2 linked regions of the Nothobranchius furzeri genome follow. The protein of the gene in region 1 purifies or fractionates together with the protein of each later gene. This does not show direct contact. Links are inferred from orthologs where the notes say so. Each region holds a gene or a part of one and is shown in the gene's direction. Other genes may lie near its edges.

What was found.
Region 2: the proteins of kinesin-like protein KIF24 (region 1) and cep97 purify together in Homo sapiens (co-immunoprecipitation; 4 studies listed by BioGRID and IntAct, with this or other methods). This does not show direct contact. The link is inferred for Nothobranchius furzeri from reciprocal best matches to the Homo sapiens genes KIF24 and CEP97.

What each region holds. Positions count from the first base shown.
Region 1 is NC_091757.1:46,820,274-46,824,667, forward strand, and holds the start of kinesin-like protein KIF24, read left to right. Parts: upstream 1-1,502; 5' UTR 1,503-1,737; intron 1,738-2,092; exon of another isoform or gene 2,093-2,232; intron 2,233-2,320; 5' UTR 2,321-2,342; coding exon of another isoform or gene 2,343-2,367; coding exon 2,368-2,426; intron 2,427-2,509; coding exon 2,510-3,292; intron 3,293-3,417; coding exon 3,418-3,583; intron 3,584-3,678; coding exon 3,679-3,776; intron 3,777-3,858; coding exon 3,859-4,077; intron 4,078-4,190; coding exon 4,191-4,278; intron 4,279-4,394. UniProt on the Homo sapiens protein: Microtubule-dependent motor protein that acts as a negative regulator of ciliogenesis by mediating recruitment of CCP110 to mother centriole in cycling cells, leading to restrict nucleation of cilia at centrioles.
Region 2 is NC_091754.1:25,616,880-25,621,261, forward strand, and holds the start of cep97 (centrosomal protein of 97 kDa), read left to right. Parts: upstream 1-1,510; 5' UTR 1,511-1,719; coding exon 1,720-1,804; intron 1,805-1,906; coding exon of another isoform or gene 1,907-2,043; intron 2,044-2,389; exon of another isoform or gene 2,390-2,572; intron 2,573-2,745; coding exon of another isoform or gene 2,746-2,856; intron 2,857-3,325; coding exon of another isoform or gene 3,326-3,401; intron 3,402-3,528; coding exon of another isoform or gene 3,529-3,734; exon of another isoform or gene 3,735-4,064; coding exon of another isoform or gene 4,065-4,101; intron 4,102-4,382. Other genes in the region: rpl24 (large ribosomal subunit protein eL24), read right to left, coding at 1,907-2,043, 2,746-2,856, 3,326-3,401, 3,529-3,734. UniProt on the Homo sapiens protein: Acts as a key negative regulator of ciliogenesis in collaboration with CCP110 by capping the mother centriole thereby preventing cilia formation. Required for recruitment of CCP110 to the centrosome.

The sequences.
Region 1 (4,394 bases):
TCGAACACTTATTAAATGTAGTTTTAGAAGGGAATAACTGAAATATTCATTCCTTTGTAAGGTGTTTTTCCACTCCTGCTCCTTGTCTGCAAGATCCTTGGCTTTTTTAAAATCCTAAATAAAAAAACATCAAGAAAAAATTTAACTTAAACAAAGTTTAAAAGAAGTATTTTGTTAAATTAGAAGGTTGCCATATGACCTTCTGCTGTTTCTTCCTCAGTACCTTCTCCTCATTCAGCTTTCTACCAATTCTGCCTTCCTGAGATCCACTGATTACCTTTCATATTCATTTTCATTTTCTCTTTTTCTTACATTTGTAATCAATTTTTTTCTTTTCCTTGTTTTACATATTTATATATTTTATTTTTCATTTTATATTCTTGTGAAGCACCTAGTGATTTTTATCTTGAGAAGTGCTATATAAAGGATCGTTTTTTCTTCTTCTAAAGGTAAAATAAAATGTGACAAATCAGTCTGAAATGGAAAATCAGTGGAAAGATTGTGACAAATGCTTGGAAAATTAGTGAACTCAACTAATATGAATTTTTTTTAAAACATCAGTTTCATTGAGGCTTTCTAGTCTCAGTTTCAGGTTATTGTTGAATTTATTCTGCTTCTTAAAAAAGTTAAGACACACTGGACATCATTGCAAGATTATGAACTAATTGTATCGTAGGTTATTTCTACAGTGAGTGAAATCTAACAAGTTAAGCTGTTTTTAACTAATAACTAAACTGACATATTTAGATTTTATGTCATGTCATGTAGTTTGTCAGATTTCCTCGATAAAACGTGTACAAGAGCTTGAAAACACAAAAATAAACAACAAATATTAACTTTATATATATTTATATATTATAAATCTACCTTTTACTTGCCCCTATGTGGCAGCAGGACTTCTGGGTAACGTCCGGCTTATCAGACACTAAACTCCGCTGGTGTTTTATCTTTATCAAGCAGACTTGCTAAATAACTTGGACAAATTTCAAATGACGAAACATAAACATCACTTTCAAATTTCAGGAAACCCTGTAGACGTAAATAAAAAATAACAGCTACGCTACTGGATACCCACGAAGAAGAATAATAGTGTGTTACATCAAATTTAGTCCTCGCTGAAACACGAAGCGGAAGTTGTTTCTGTTTCCACAGAGTTGAATATGAATTAGAAACCAGCCATGTAATTAAACACGAAAACGCAGTCAGATTGCTGTAACGTTTAGGTGAAGCTTTGATATGAGCAGTGCAACAACATAATTTATTTGGATTTATTGTAGAAAATTTACATTCACGTTTTTTTATATTTACATGTTTTTAAAAATGTGAAATTGATTTTGTTACAAAAAGAAAAACGAATATATTAAATGTGAAATCTTCCAATGAAGCAAAAAAATATGTATATATCTGTCTGTCCCTTTAAACCGATAGGCTTCTTATGGGTTGCTGGTGGGCATAAGCCTTATACGGATTATCTCTGTGTGTAATAGCTGAACTGCTCGTTATTTCGACCGGTTGTCCCACTGAAATTCTTTATTTACGTGTGATAAACTTTTTTTTATTAATTTTTTTTTGAGCTGACAGAAAAAAGGACCAGTCAGCTGTTTGTGTTGTTATGGAGACTAATTCTGAGTACGGAAATACCATCCAGGCTGGCAGCTTAAATAATTAATGTTATTTCGGTTAAACGTGCTACTGTCCGATATCTTTGGCTGCTGAAAGATAAAAAGCCCAAAGTAAGTAAGTATTTTTAATTGTTACTTTTTTGAAAACTTTATTATTTTAATGGTGGTATTTAATTTTCTGCAACTATAAATATAGATCCATTTAAGTTTGCAAAGGTGAGAGTTGCATAATGCCCACAGAGATAAATGCACAAATGTGTCTGCATGTACTGGTCTGTGTCTCAGCTGTCCCACTCTTATCACATGGCAGGACAGTTACAGCTGCTGGCCAATCTACAGTAGAATTAGACTGTTGCTAGCCAATGTTTGCTATATTTATCAAAGTTGCTGCAGTGAAGAATCCTGTGTCAACTGCACTTTGCGGCTCTATCCTGCTAGTGTCAGATTTCAGCATCCCATGCTTTGCCTACCATCAACAGAGCGAGGTTGTAGTAATGACCCAGTGAGCAACCATTGGTTACAATTCTCTGACAAATCACCCTACAGGACACTGTCCTGAGTTGTTGTTGGAGCAGGTTGCAGTGTGAGGCCTTTTTGAGATGTATTCTGTGTAAGAGGAGTCATTTTATTTCTGTAGATTGATAATCTTTATGCTTTTGCTCTTTCTGATCTATGGATGAATACATTGTCTGTCTCAGAGGTGGTGCAGGGAAGGAGTAAATGGAGAGAAAAGGAAGGTCAGGAAATGACGGTTTGTCTATACGAGCTCCTGAGAGCTGCAGGGATGCAGCATCATTATGCCCGGTAAGCAGATATGTGCCACCCAAGGCCACACTTCCCTTGTGTTTTCCAGATATAAACCTGGCCTCCTGTTGTTTGTCTCTTAGGTTCACCTTGGCTGGTGTTTGCCGCGCAGTCCACCTTTCAGCTCTGAGGATGGAGGATTACCCCCTCCTGGGAATCACCTCAATGGAGGACAGAACACGACTTTTCCATCTGGTCCAAATGGTCAAAACTCTTGACTTAAATAGTCTAGTGAATGATGATATTATGATTTGTAATGATAACATTGGAGGTGATGGAGACTGTGTTGCAGTGGGTGGAAGAATCAGTTTTGGTGAAAATGTGAGCAAGGATCCTGACAAATACGGAGCTACAATAAATACATCTAATGCATCCAGGTATGCTGGACCCCAGTGTGTTTGCAGGCAGCTTGATTTCAATCTTGAATTTCCTCATTCTGTTCATGTTTCTGCAAGCCATAATAGGTTTGTTGAGCCTGTCCAGGTAAAAGGATCAGCCACAGCCATGCAACTTGAGCTTCCCATCAGAAATGCAGCCCCATACGGCCCCCCAAAGAGCAAAAACAATAGGAGGGGCACAGTTAGCTGCTCATGTGATTCCCACCATGAAGAAAACAGAAGAGGATTTTCTTCGGTCAATTCTGATGACAATTTTCTATCAATTAGTAAAATATCCCACAAACCAAATCCCAATTGTGCAACTGATACTGATAGCAAACCTTTTGGACAAAAACTCAGAGAAGGAACCTCCAGGAAGGAAAATGTCTCTCCAGACACGACTAAGCCCATACCTGTTTTTGAAGCAAAAGGAACAGCTGGCTACAACTACGGACTCCCACTGAGTTCTCCACTGGTTCCAAAAAACAAGTGAGTCCACAGCTAGTAAAATGTAACTATGTTTAATAACAATCTGTAATACTTTATCTGACGATAGTAATGTCATTTTGATTTGATGATTGTAATTCTTTACTGCGGTTTGGTGTGTGTGTCAGGTATGTGGGGGGACAGCGGATTAGAGTGTGTGTTAGGAAAAGACCTTTGACACGTGCAGAGTGCAGAAGAGGACAGGTCGATGTTGTCACGACGACTCCAGGTGAAGACTGCGTTATTGTCCGTGAAAGCAAAGAAGCTGTGGATCTCTCTGAGTACATACTACAGGTAAGAAAACAACCACCTATCTAACAATCCTGGAATTCTATGATTTATTTTTTATTTCCTATTCCGCATCTTCTCCTGCTTCTTTGTTTTTGCAGCACAAGTTTTACTTTGACCAGGTTTTTGGGGAAGGGAGCTCTAATGAAGAGGTGTATCAAACGACAGCCTTTCCTCTGGTGCAGCACATGCTTAACGGGTAGGGTTGCACAGCACCTTTTATCTCATGTTATGACTTTGTTTTTCAGTCCTTTTAAAGTTTATTTTGCGTGAATCCACAGAGGGAAAGCCACCTGCTTTGCATATGGACAAACAGGTGCAGGGAAGACTCACACCATGCTGGGATCATCTCCTGGGGAACCTGGGTTGTATGTTCTGGCAGTTCGGGACATTTTTGCTCACCTGTCCACCACACACACGCACTCATCCTTACTGGTTTATGCTAGTTTCTTTGAGATCTACTGCGGTCAGTTGTACGACCTGTTGGACAGCAGGAAAAGGTCTGTTGTCTGGTTAGGGTGTGCTTAGCAAGATCAAGCTTTCCAACTTTATCTTTTAAAATTGTAACTGATGTGATCCTCTTGAATATTTTCCTCCTTTCTTGCCTCTGAAGGTTGTTTGCGAGAGAAGATGGACAGAAAGTGGTTCACATTTCAGGGCTGCGTAATGTCAGAGTGGATTCGGTCAGCTCGGTGCTTAAGGTTCGCTCCTTTAAACAGATATGACTGTTTACATTTACGATCCAATGCAGATTCGGAGTCTAAAATACAGATCTTTATAGAACTGAGAAATTAAATTCTATCAAAGTATTGGATTC
Region 2 (4,382 bases), on another chromosome or scaffold:
GAGAAAACTTGCTCACAATGATAAGTTTATTTTCACTCTACATTGTAAAGTATGAAAATAAAGTTAACACAACCATTTTGTGGGCCGGATTTAACCCGCTTGCGGGCCGGATCCGGCCCGCGGGCCGCATGTTTGACGCCCCTGATATATATGATAAAACACTTGCAATTATAATGGCGCAGAAGTTCAGTGTAACTGTTGTATAACAAATGTAGCATGGACAGCCATGCCAATGCTTTCTCATGGAAAGCAAAGGACCTGGTAGCATTCCTATTGAAATAACTCCACCGACTGAGCCAATCAGTGCTGAGCAGCGTACGTCACGCACACTCAGTTTCTCATAAAACAAAGATGGCTTCTGAAACGGAGTTTGCTTTGGCTTTGTTCGAAATGACTTGGACATGTCTTTAAAACCTCAACATGAAGTGCTAAAAAGCCTTTGTTTAAAAAAAAAGATGTTTGCACTGTCACTAGATGCCATCTTTGCCTACAGGTAATAAATTACAATCGTCACTCGCTTTTTTTTTGGTGATTGGTTATTTTTGAGCTGGCGAGTCCCACCCCTCATGGTGCTGTCTGCCTCCGAGTATCCCGACTCGTCCTCTGTAGAACAGACAAGAGGACGAGTCTGGCACACCAGGCTAAAACAGACGCACACATTCATCAACCTTTCTAACTTGCTGAATGTTAACTCATTTACTGCCATTGACTTAAGTCGTCATTTGCATGTTTTTACTGTGTGGGCATTGGAACGAGCCCCCGCACCATGAGAACAAACAGCTCTAAAGCCGATCTTCGCATACGTCACATGATCAGGAAGCAGAAAATCCATGTATTAGATCATTTGGGGCCGCTACTGTAAAAAAAAAGTGAGGCGCGAACCGGAAAAGCGGAGGCTACATTATTAATAACATGGCTGTACAACCCACCCTTTAAAGTCATCCTATGTAGCACTTTAAATTTAAAATTCAAACACAAGCTGAAACTACTAAAAAGTATCCATAAACACAGTTTGCTTCGGTCATTATTTAAATGATCCAGCAAAAACATGTTATAGAAAATTGTCTCTTCCTTTACCTGCTCCGAATGAGAAGCTGTAGCTAAAGTAATGTAATGGCATCACTGTTCTGATAGTCAGAACTGCTTCCCTTTGAGTTGCTATCAGATAAGAATAAAGTGAGAGCATGTTTAGGACTGAAAACATTGAGGTCAAACTGAGGTTCAGTGAGAAAAAGCTCCAACATTTCATTCACCTCAGTAAAGTCAAATTTGATGGTTTTACTGAGAAAATAGGAGCAAAGCTAAAGACACAACATTATGTCAGATTTGACCATTTCTGTCTGCACTAGTTGGGAACAGTCTAGTCTGCATGATTAGTTGGAACAAAATGTGTGAATGGGGTAAAAATAAGAAATGTGAGTGCAAAAAAGACCCGACCTAAAGTCAGCAGCAGTCAAACATGTTTAAATTTATAAATTTGTTGCATTAAATTGTTAAACTCATCTGCAAATATGTGTTAACAGCTAATGTTTAAGAAATGATGGGATGTGGGGAAATGGCTTCAAATTATTTTATAAATAGTAGGAATGTCAAAACAATGATAGTCCAAATTTCAAACGTTAACCCTTCCATGGCTTAACCCAACCCTAATTTTTCTTTTTAATCTTAGCAAACAGCAGCAGTGTTTTTAATGTTTACTTCCTTCTACTATTACTGTAGATGCAGCTTGGCAGTTTGATGGATTCAGTCGGAAGTTGGTTTGAGAAACTGTACTCGGTGATCCCTCACAGCCTCATCAATACCAGTTAAGTGTGTGATCCCAGTCTTTAATCACACTTGTTGAAACCAGTCTGGTCATGTGTACTCCGGGTCGGTTCCAAGCTTTAGTTATAATTTGTCCACTGACCTGATGGCCTGCTCCCTCTGGGCCTTGCGGACCTCGGGTTTCTGGTTCCTCTTGGCCATGATCTCAGCCAGGGAGGCCCCAGTGATGGCCCTCGTGAATTTTACTGCACGGCGGGTACGCTTCTTTGTCACCTCTTCCTGTTGACACAAATGACATTTACTTGTACCATGCTGAATGTGACATTTTAATGTGCTTTGCATGTCAACAACACACAACTCTAAAATCAGTAAAACTGGTACCACTAACACAAAATAAACGAGTTAATGAAACACTTAACTATTTTATTTCTAGGACAAGAACACTTTAAAGGACAAAGACTTAAAGTTTGAAATGAACATTGAGCATGCTACAAACCCTTACTTGGGTTAATTAAAACAGCAAAAATGCAAAACTGACTGCACCGCTTCAAGGAATTTCATATTTTAATTGTGAAAACTGTCCATCTTGCAATACACCTGAAATAATACAAATGGGTGAAAAATATTATGTTGGAGAGTTTGGAGGCTGGCCAATGCAGAGATGCCAAAAGAAAGACAGTCAAAGGCCAGTACTATGATCCCCAGTTGTTCTATGGCTGCAGGTGTGGTGTGAGCACTGCTGTTAAACTGCAAAACACAGTTCAGCAACAACACATAACATGGACCATCACCATGCACATCGTTCACTCGCAGCCAAATATGCTTGATCAACTTAATGCATGAATAATGGTGTGAATAGAAGAAAATTTACAATGAATGTTATCAATTCAAAACCGCAACATTCAAAAGGACCTTCCTAAGAAAACATAAATAAATCAGAAGTGCCTCGTCCTTGAAGACTAGTAAAAAGCTGCCACTTACAGACTGGCCCTTCTTGTGCTTGCGTCTGTACAGCACAGTCCAGTTAATCTGTCTGGGGTTCCTCTTAGACAGGAAGGCAGACTCGCACTTGGCGTTCAAAAACTGGAAGACCTGCCAAAAACATTTAAATATATTTGATTATACAGAACGTCTTACATTCAACACATATTACATTACTAAAACGATCAGGTTAAAAATACTTCCAGGGCTAGATCAGATGGTAAATGTTGCTGTACTGACAAGCGATATGGTCCATTAAAATGTAAGTCATACATCATTAAATCGTACAACTTACTTCTAATGCAACATACATTACAAAAATAGATAGCATTTACACTTGGTAACATTTTGTGGCTGTACATTTAGAAACATTACATTTGATCATGGAAATTCGTATGAGTCGCTTAATGATGACGTTGGTTGCTAACGTTAACTGTAGCATGTAAAAAGGCTTTCAGAAGATACAACAGAAACGGAGCAATAACATTTCCGATACGATGAACTTCATTTAGAGAAAATGTTAATATCTATTACAGACCGGCTAAGTACAGAACCGGTGTGGGACACAAGATGAAGTTACCTTTCCGTCTATCCTGGCATATCGGCGGCCATGGCCGGGGTATATTTTATACCCACTGAAACTGCACAACTCAACCCTGAAAATGACAAATATAATACATCACAAAAGGGAAAACAAAAACAATACATTTTTATATGGCTAACGCATTAATCGTTTTTATTTAAATGTTGAGATGGCTTTAGATTTTTATTCGGTACACTTACTTCATGATGGCTACGAGACGGCTCACAACCGGAAAGAGAGATGACGGAGGCGGAAACAGAATTAGAGTACTTTCAAAGTACACTTTTAATATCGTTTTAGGCACTTTTCTTCTTTCTTTTGGATAAATACTAACAAAAATCTCAAACCAATAAAATAATAATATGACTACAATAAGTTCATACAATATTTCTCTCTTGCCAAACATGCGCAGCAACAAAACGTAAAGAAAAAAACAAATGTATGATGCAAATAAAAAAGATTATAGTTTTACACTGAATCCTATATATTTAATTTGACGTTTTTATCCAGTCTTTTTTTTTAATTATGGTTTTTCACTACAACTTGGCTGTCGGGACGTCGGCGCGCTTTTGGAAAACTGTAGTCTTTTTAAGACGAAAGTCGATGCAATATACCAATGAAAGTGAATAAGTGAACTGCATTTCCCACAATGCCTTTCGCACAGCATCTGACAACCTAACGACGCTTCTTGCTCTCCCCTTGCTAGCTAACGCTTGCCGTTGTTTGGGGCAACAAGATGGGTGTATCAGATTTACAGAGTGATATAGTTGATGGTAGGTGGTGTAAATTTTGTTTTGTTTTTACAGAAAAAGTAACATTTCCGTGTTTTTTCTGGACATTGGAGTGATGGCTGCATCAGATGACTACCGCTAGCCCGTTAGCATGATTATGAGCAGATCAAAACATCCTGTGTCATTTCTGTCGTCTTACAATGCGCGCAGTTTTGTGTTAAACACATCAAAGCAAAGATTCTTACACTGACCCATCATTTTGCTTTTAAATGTAGGGATAATATGCATTTATTTTCCCTTGATTTTGGTGTTTGATACAGTTT